Mus musculus: one gene and its partner. The protein of the gene in region 1 interacts with the protein of each later gene in a pairwise test. Links are inferred from orthologs where the notes say so. Each region holds a gene or a part of one and is shown in the gene's direction. Other genes may lie near its edges.

What was found.
Region 2: the proteins of Ccdc136 (region 1) and Atp5o interact in binary tests that used the Homo sapiens proteins (3 or more experiments, as listed by UniProt). The two-hybrid records come from large-scale screens. The link is inferred for Mus musculus from reciprocal best matches to the Homo sapiens genes CCDC136 and ATP5PO.

Annotation. Positions count from the first base shown.
Region 1 is NC_000072.6:29,402,961-29,406,606, forward strand, and holds part of Ccdc136 (coiled-coil domain-containing protein 136), read left to right. Parts: exon of another isoform or gene 1-49; coding exon of another isoform or gene 50-65; intron 66-2,910; coding exon 2,911-3,231; intron 3,232-3,646. UniProt on the Homo sapiens protein: May play a role in acrosome formation in spermatogenesis and in fertilization.
Region 2 is NC_000082.6:91,928,784-91,932,938, reverse strand, and holds the start of Atp5o (ATP synthase subunit O, mitochondrial precursor), read left to right. Parts: upstream 1-1,308; 5' UTR 1,309-1,383; coding exon 1,384-1,419; intron 1,420-2,534; coding exon 2,535-2,585; intron 2,586-3,929; coding exon 3,930-4,040; intron 4,041-4,155. UniProt on the Homo sapiens protein: Subunit OSCP, of the mitochondrial membrane ATP synthase complex (F(1)F(0) ATP synthase or Complex V) that produces ATP from ADP in the presence of a proton gradient across the membrane which is generated by electron transport complexes of the respiratory chain.

The DNA of each region.
Region 1 (3,646 bases):
GGGAGGCGGGAGCCCCCCCTTTGGAGACCGCTTGTGGGGGGCCGCCGAGATGCAGGCCATAACCAGTAAGTGCCAAGTGTCTTCTTTGCCCCCCGAATCCTCCGCCGCGCCCCCTGAAGGCCCCAGCCCGCAGTCAACCGGCGCCAGCTCTTTGGAACCTGGTCCCTGCCTTTCCAACTCCTGGCTGGCCTATCCCATTCAGCTTCCAAGATGAGCCTGGCCCCTCGCCACCTATCACTACCCTGACTCCCATGATCTAAGAAGGCTCTTTACAGAGCCAGGTCCCGAACAGCTAGCTAGTGAGGTTTGAGGGTATGCTAGGGAGATGGAGGTTAGGCTGTGCCCCTAGAATGCCCAGGCCTGGGGTGGGGTCTTCATCATAGTGACCAGTTGACACCCCCCCCCCCCCATGCCTCTCGCTCCAACTAAGCTGAGCTGAGGATCTAGATATCACCTTGTAAATTCTTGTACTGTGGAATATATTTGTGTTGTGGGGTGTTTTAGTTGGTCTTCCCATCTCTTGGTCATAAACTTTATGAAAACAAGGAACACGCTGGTTTTATTTACTTCCTTTCAAATAGAAAGTCAGGATGTGGGGATACGGGTCAGTATGTAGCCATATGAGATGCTGGGTTCAACCTGTCCACTTATTGGCCATATACCCAAATGGGTGCTTTCTCCCTTCTTCTCTCCCTCCCGTACAGCTTGACACAGGCTGGTCTCAAACTCCTAGACTCAAGCAGTACTCTTACTTCGGCCTCTAGAGTGCTGGGACTATAGACATGTACAATGGTGCCCTTAAATGTGTCTTATAGAACGCCCATGTGCTCTTAACATGTAATGTTGCGTATACAGAAGAAACTCAGTAAAAATTGAATGAATGAGTCTCTACCTCCTACATGAATATAGTAAATTTATATTTATTGAGCTGGATTTGGGCTTAATTTCCTTGGTTAAAGGTTGAACCCAGCATCTCATGTGTGCTAGGTACTGAACTACATCCCCATGGCCTGACTTTCTGTTTGAAAGGAAGTAAATGAAACCAGCATGTTCCCTGTTTGCATAAACTTTATAGCCAAGTGAGGACAGAACGGAACACAGCCACATGTGCTACAGAGTTCAAGGCACTATATGAGCCTTGAGGATTCCTCTTAACTTTTGGAGGAGGTGGAGGAGACGTTAGAAAAAGATGGAACCTGGATGTTTGCTAGAATATGCAGGAGATGGGACATGGGGACAGCATACCTTGTAAAGTCCAGTTCTCTTCCATCCCTTAATCCTTCCCACACTTCTGAAGTCTTCTTGAAATCCATGACTTTAACTCTCCACTTCCGAGTTATTTTCACCCATTCCAAATGGGTGCCTGCATCCAGATGCGAAACTAGATATAGTGACTCATGTCTGTAATCTCATCACTCGGGAGGCTGAGTTTGAGATCAGCCTGTGCTACAGAATGAGACCCTGTCTTAAAAAGCAAAAGAGGAGAGGTAGGTGGATCTCTTGAGTTCCAGGACAGCCAGGGCTACACAGAGAAACCTATTTCAAAAAACCAAAAAAGAAACAAACTGAAACAACCTCAGATGATCCCCAGGGTTCTGACACATTTGTTTTGCATATTAAAATATAAGCACAATCCATATATAAAGTGTAGACACGTGTGAAAAATCAAGCAACACTGCTACAAGATGGAGATTAAGACACCTGTAATGTTACCCTACTCCTCTGAAGCAATTGCTCTTTTTTAAATGTATTTTCTGTGACTCTGTGAATGTGGAAACCAGGAGTCAGTGTCAAGTGTCTTCCTCACTCTTCCCCTTATGTTTTGAGACAGAGACTCTCACTAAACCAGGAGCTCCCTGCTTTAGCCAAACTGGCAAGCCAATAAGCTGCAGGGATCTGTCTCTGCCTGCTCCACATGCTGTAGTCCCAGGGTTAGGGCACCGACTCATGCCACTAGGTCTGGGTTTTATGTGGATGCCAGGGATCTGATCTCAGGCCCTTAATTAAGCTTGTATGGTAAGCCCTTTTCCCACACTTGAAGCGTCTACTCTTTATGGTTTGGGGCATAGATCTTCTTCGACTGTTTTTCTGTATCTTTAAGTATTTATGTTGTACAGTATCTGATTTGTTTTTCTTTCTCCCTAATATATCCTAAAAATCACTTTCATATTTTTCTAGCTAGTAAAAAAGGTTTCTTTTGACTTAATGTTTTTGGAGGTCTAAAAGTGGCACAGACATTGGCTTCTACTTAAGGCTCTCGGTGAGCTGTATCATGATCCCAACAGTTGATGTTGTCAACCACCATGCAGGTTATTATTCGGTGTTTTATTTTTTTTTTTAAAGATTTATTTATTTATTATATGTAAGTACACTGGAGCTGTCTTCAGACACTCCAGAAGAGGGCGTCAGATCTTGTTACAGATGGTTGTGAGCCACCATGTGGTTTCTGGGATTTGAACTCCGGACCTTCGGAAGAGCAGTCGGGTGCTCTTACCCACTGAGCCATCTCACCAGCCCTGGTGTTTTATTATTTTGTGGTGAAATTATTATTTAATTTCACCTTGAATTCTACATGTGTACTGTTTTGCATCCTGTGCTTACAGGAAGTGTGGGGCTAAGAGGAGCCTCTGGGGTCTTGTATTTCCTAAGCCCCAGGATGGATAAATGAAAATACTCTGAATTTTGTTTTTTTTTTAACTTACGAAATTTTTAGAAAGACTTAGGACACTGATAAAATACAACCTATTAGGTGCTCTGGATCTCTGGTGGGGGAAAGACTAGGTTGTCAGTGGCTTTCAGACAGCAGGTAAGACTCTCTTGAACGCTGTGTTTCCAGACTTTGCTCAGCACATTCACCTCTTGACCACCAACCTTTGGGTTTGTTTGTTTGTTTGTTTGTTTGTTTTTCAGGTGAGCTGCAACATCTACGGGAGGAGATTTCCCTGTTAGAGCATGAGAAGGAAAGCGAACTTAAAGAAATGGAGCAGGAGTTGCATTTGGCCCAAGCAGAGATCCAAAATCTACGGCAAGCTGCGGCAGACTCTGCCACTGAACATGAGAGTGACATAGCGTCCTTGCAGGATGATCTCTGCCGGTTGCAGAATGATCTCGATGACATGGAGCGCATTCGAGGGGACTATGAGATGGAGATTGCCTCGCTCCGGGCAGAAATGGAATTGAAGACTTCTGAACCATCTAATCTAAGCATCTCCGACTTCTCTGGGATACAAGGTATGCAACTTTCTGGTCTGTTCACACAGTTGAACAGAGGAGAGGACATTGTAGATAGGAAGATGGTGGAAGAGTAGTGTTAGATTACGCATTAGAAACCTCTAGAAAAAAAGATCCCCTGTGTTTACTTTGAGATTGGAGAGGAAAACTCAGCTGTTACATAACCAGTCCATGATGGTGTAAGAATTAGAGATGGACCCTGGAGATTCTTAACAGAGAGCTGCCGGGCACTGGTTGGTGTGAGTATGGGAAGGTCCACTCTGGGAAAGTGTCCAGGTCTGGGGTAGATGCAGAAGGACCTGTCACGGTAGGAAACACTTCCTGCTGCTGTGGCATCATGGCTCTTTGCCTGAACCTGTTTGGGCCTCTAGCCCAGCCTTTAAGATCCAGAATGCTAATTCTTAGCTTCATTTAG
Region 2 (4,155 bases), on another chromosome or scaffold:
GCAGTGGAGTGAAGTATCCACACACAGCTAGTGAGAGTGTAAGCCGAAGAGAAGCAGCTCTGCCTCATGTGCCCATGTGCTCATGCTCACTTGTCAAGCTGCTCGATCAACTTTTAAATTCTACTTTTGAAATTATGAAAAAGTATATCTAAAGATACTCAGATGTGTATTAAAGTAATATATTAAAGTAATATAAACCACGTGAGTTATGTTGAAAAGTCATAGAATGGTTAAGTTATAGAATCAAAGTAGGTTATTCTGCAGCTATGGACATGTTTATTAAAGTGCCATAATTTAGAAATTTGCTTATACAAAATGTATTTCTGAGGTTGGAGAGACAGCTCAGCGGTTGGGCACTGGCTGCTCCTGCAGAGGACCTGTGCTCAGTTTCAGTACCCCCTGGCACCTCACAACTGCCTCTAACTCCAGCTCCAAGAGACTAGATGTCCTTTTCTGGACTCTAAGGCAACAGGCACACATGGTACACGTGAATATATGCAGGAAAACACTCAAACACATAAAACAATTTCTAAAAGAATGTATTTGCAACCCATATAATTCTGTATCCATCTTCCCTCATATTAAAAAGTAAATTATATATAGATAAATTATATATAGATTTTGAGTCTGTGGGTATAAAAAGCACAAACACGGGCTGGCAAGATGACTCAGCAGTTAAGAGCACTAACTGCTCTTCCGAAGGTCCTGAGTTCAAATCCCAGCAACCACATGGTGGCTCACAACCACCGATAATGAGATCTGACGCCCTCTTCTGGTGTATCTGAAGACAGCTACGGTGTACTTATGTATAATATAATAATAAATCTTTGGGCTGGAGCGAGCAGAGATCCAAAAACAAAAATTAAATCCCCAACAACCACATGAAGGCTCACAACCATCTGTACAGCTACAGTATACTCATATACATGAAGTAAATAAAGAAATCTAAAAAAAGAAAAAAAGAAAAAGCACAAACACACCTGTCAACTGTCCTATGTAATCAAAATATGGCCAGAAGAGCCAAGAAGTGCGCCCGGGTAGGTTCACTTTTGGTTTTTGTTTTAAGTAAAGCCTGAAGCATTGCCACAGAAGCACACTTGGCAGGTTCAAGACGAGTCAACGATGTTGACGATGCATGTGCAAAGAGTTTAAATCTAAACCTAATTTCAGACTTAATTTTCTGGTTCCGGTTCACGAGTCCAGCCGGACCGCGGCAGGTACGGACTACAACTCCCAGCATGCAAGAGGTTCTTACCCACACTCCCGGGCTCCTGACGCGTACATTTCCCAGAAAGCCGAGCGATCACGCTGGCGCGCGCGCGTGCGCTCTGGCGCCAGTAGTCTCTTTTCATTTGGGTTTGACCTACAGCCGCCCGGGAAAAGATGGCCGCGCCTGCAGCGTCCGGACTGTCTCGACAGGTAGAAGCTGGCGGGAGGCTCCCTCCCAGGGTTGCGGGTCCCCGGCTCCCATCGCCGCGTGTGAGGCCGTGGCTGAGGGGTCAGGCAGCCCGCCCAGGGTCGTGGGGCCCGGCGACTGCAGGCAGCGTGGGGCGGATCCGCGTTTCGTCCCCGTGGGGAGTGGGCACGGATTTCTCTGTCTTGACCTTGACATCCAGGACTCACTGCATAGCGGAGCAGCTGGCAAGGGCATGGGAGAGAGCACTGGGGAGAGTACATGCCTGTCCTTGCTGGTAAACCTAAGGGCTGCCTGCTGCTTAGGATTTTGAGTGTTGGAAAAGCGCATCCCCTGTGTTTATAAAGAAGGGGGGAAGGGCTAAACGTCTCCCCTTTGGCTGGCAGCTGGTGAGTGATGGCGAGCTTGCAACAGGCCAAGTCCAGCAGAACCTGGAATTGGGTGGAAAAAAATACGTGCCTGGGTCATCTGCCATGATAATTTTGTATCGACAGCCGTCATGGTTTTCATCTGCACCATACAGAATTATTACTAAGGCGTTAGAAAGTTTTTTAACCCTCATAGCCAGTTCCAATCGAGTACATTCTAGTCTAGAGAGAGTAGTATATGACTGTGACCTGTGCCCTCGCAAAACGCTTTTTAAACTGGATTCCAGGCTGCTCCAGTGACAGACACAGTGCCTGAAGCCTGGTGCTGTATCAAGAGATCTTTGGTCTTAGATAGCATTTCAGTTCCTAAGCAAGTAGGTTTCCTTGAATTAAGACTGGACTCATTTCATGTTCATTAAAGTTTTTCTCAAAGGTGATGTAATATAAATCCTCCGCTTTCATAAAGCATTCTTCCCAAATGTGATAAAGCTCTTAATTATTTTGAAAAATTCCACTTTGGGAAGTTAGCAGCTTTTCTCTCTCAGCTATCCAGGGAGGAAGGTGTTGGGAAGGCAGTTTCTGGAGGGATTTGGGGTGATTCTCAATAGGGAGTGTATAACAAAGAGCAGCTCCCACTCATATAACCTGTGTGATGATAGAAAGGAATTGCGCAAGTATTTGATTAGATTATTTTAACACATTGCTAAGCTAATGCAGAAACCCTGTCTGATCTGTTTTCTTTTGTTCTAAAGGTTCGGAGCTTCAGTACATCTGTGGTCAGGCCCTTTGCCAAGCTTGTAAGGGTATGTCAGCTTACTTATTTGTGTGTGTGTGTTTGGAAAACAATGAAAGAGTGAGTTGAACAGAAATACGTTGAAGTGTGTAATTAATAACCTTGGTCTGCAAGGGTGGCAGTTCCCAGATGAGTGCCTGGGTGCAGGGGATGCTGTTGGGCGCCTGTCACACAGGGTGGGCTCAACCCTAGACTTTAATGTTCTAAAAATAACTTGTTTGGGCCCAGCAAGAGCTCAGCAGGTAAGGGCTGGATGGCAGGCCTGAGGGTGTGAGTTCAATCCCTGGAACCCGGAGGGGGAAAGGAAAGAAAGACCTGAAAGTTTTCTGTTCTGTTCTCTGCGTGTAGTGCGTGCGCGCGCACACACACACACACACACACACACACACACACACACACTGTATGTATAAAAGACTCTTAAATTGTTTTTCCTAGCAATCGTCCATAGACAAGCTAGCCTTTCATTCTTTTTTTTATGAAGGAACTGTTTCTAACAAAAGAAAGTGAAGTGCCCAGATTCTCACACAGTTGATACTCTGTGGCAACTCCGAGTTGCTCAGATGTGAGGCCTGCTTGCAGCCTGCACCTTGTTTCCCCAAGCAGAATCAGTACTGACAGGTACCATTCCCAGGCACCAAGAGTCTCACCATTGATTGCAGAGGTCTATTGGCCTATTCTTTTTAAACCAGAAGTCTGACTGACCTCTGGCCCAAGACAGATTGAAGTATGGCTGCACGTGCATTTATTCTATAGTTCATTGTTACTAATTCATGCATGGCAGAATCTGAAGATATCCTGGGCTGCTGTATGCTCTCGGGCAACCAGGCCAGTGATCTGCACTCATGGTCCCCTTAGGAATAGCAGAATACAATGCTCTAGGGACGTTGGGTGGAACTTACAGCAACACACGCTACGCTTAATAACAGCACCAGATTCCTTCAGCCTCTGTGAGTGGAGCCATTTTATTCCTCCTGAGAACTTCATAAAACACCATGACCGTGATAGGGACACATCCACATGTGCACTTCTTACTGCTGCCCCTGCATTGCTAATCTTCACAACTGCCTGCCGTCGTACTAAACTCCTGTGCTTAGGGATGGCATTGTCACTGAGATCAAAGAAAGCCAAAGCTTGCTGTAACATTTGCAGGTAGGGAGAGCTGGGAGAGACGCTGGACACTGCCCTCTCTGCCCCTCTAAAGGTAGAGGGTCCTGGCCAGGGAGACGGCCCTAGTTTGTGAGTTCTCATTTAGGACTGCACCTTGGCTTGGCAGTGGGAATGCAGTCTTGGAGTTGGGGGTAATTCTGTTCCTGACTTAGCTGCCTCACTCCCCCCCTCTTACTCTTGTTTCCAGCCCCCTGTTCAGGTCTACGGCATCGAAGGCCGCTATGCAACCGCCCTGTACTCTGCTGCATCTAAGGAGAAGAAGCTGGACCAGGTGGAGAAGGAGCTGCTGCGCGTAGGGGTGAGCAGCTCTCTGTTGGGCTTGTTCCTGTGTCCGGTCCTAACGGGGTACAGCCTATAAAAAGAACCACTAGAAACTGCCAAACAGTTTGCTGTAGACAAGATGCTGTTAATAA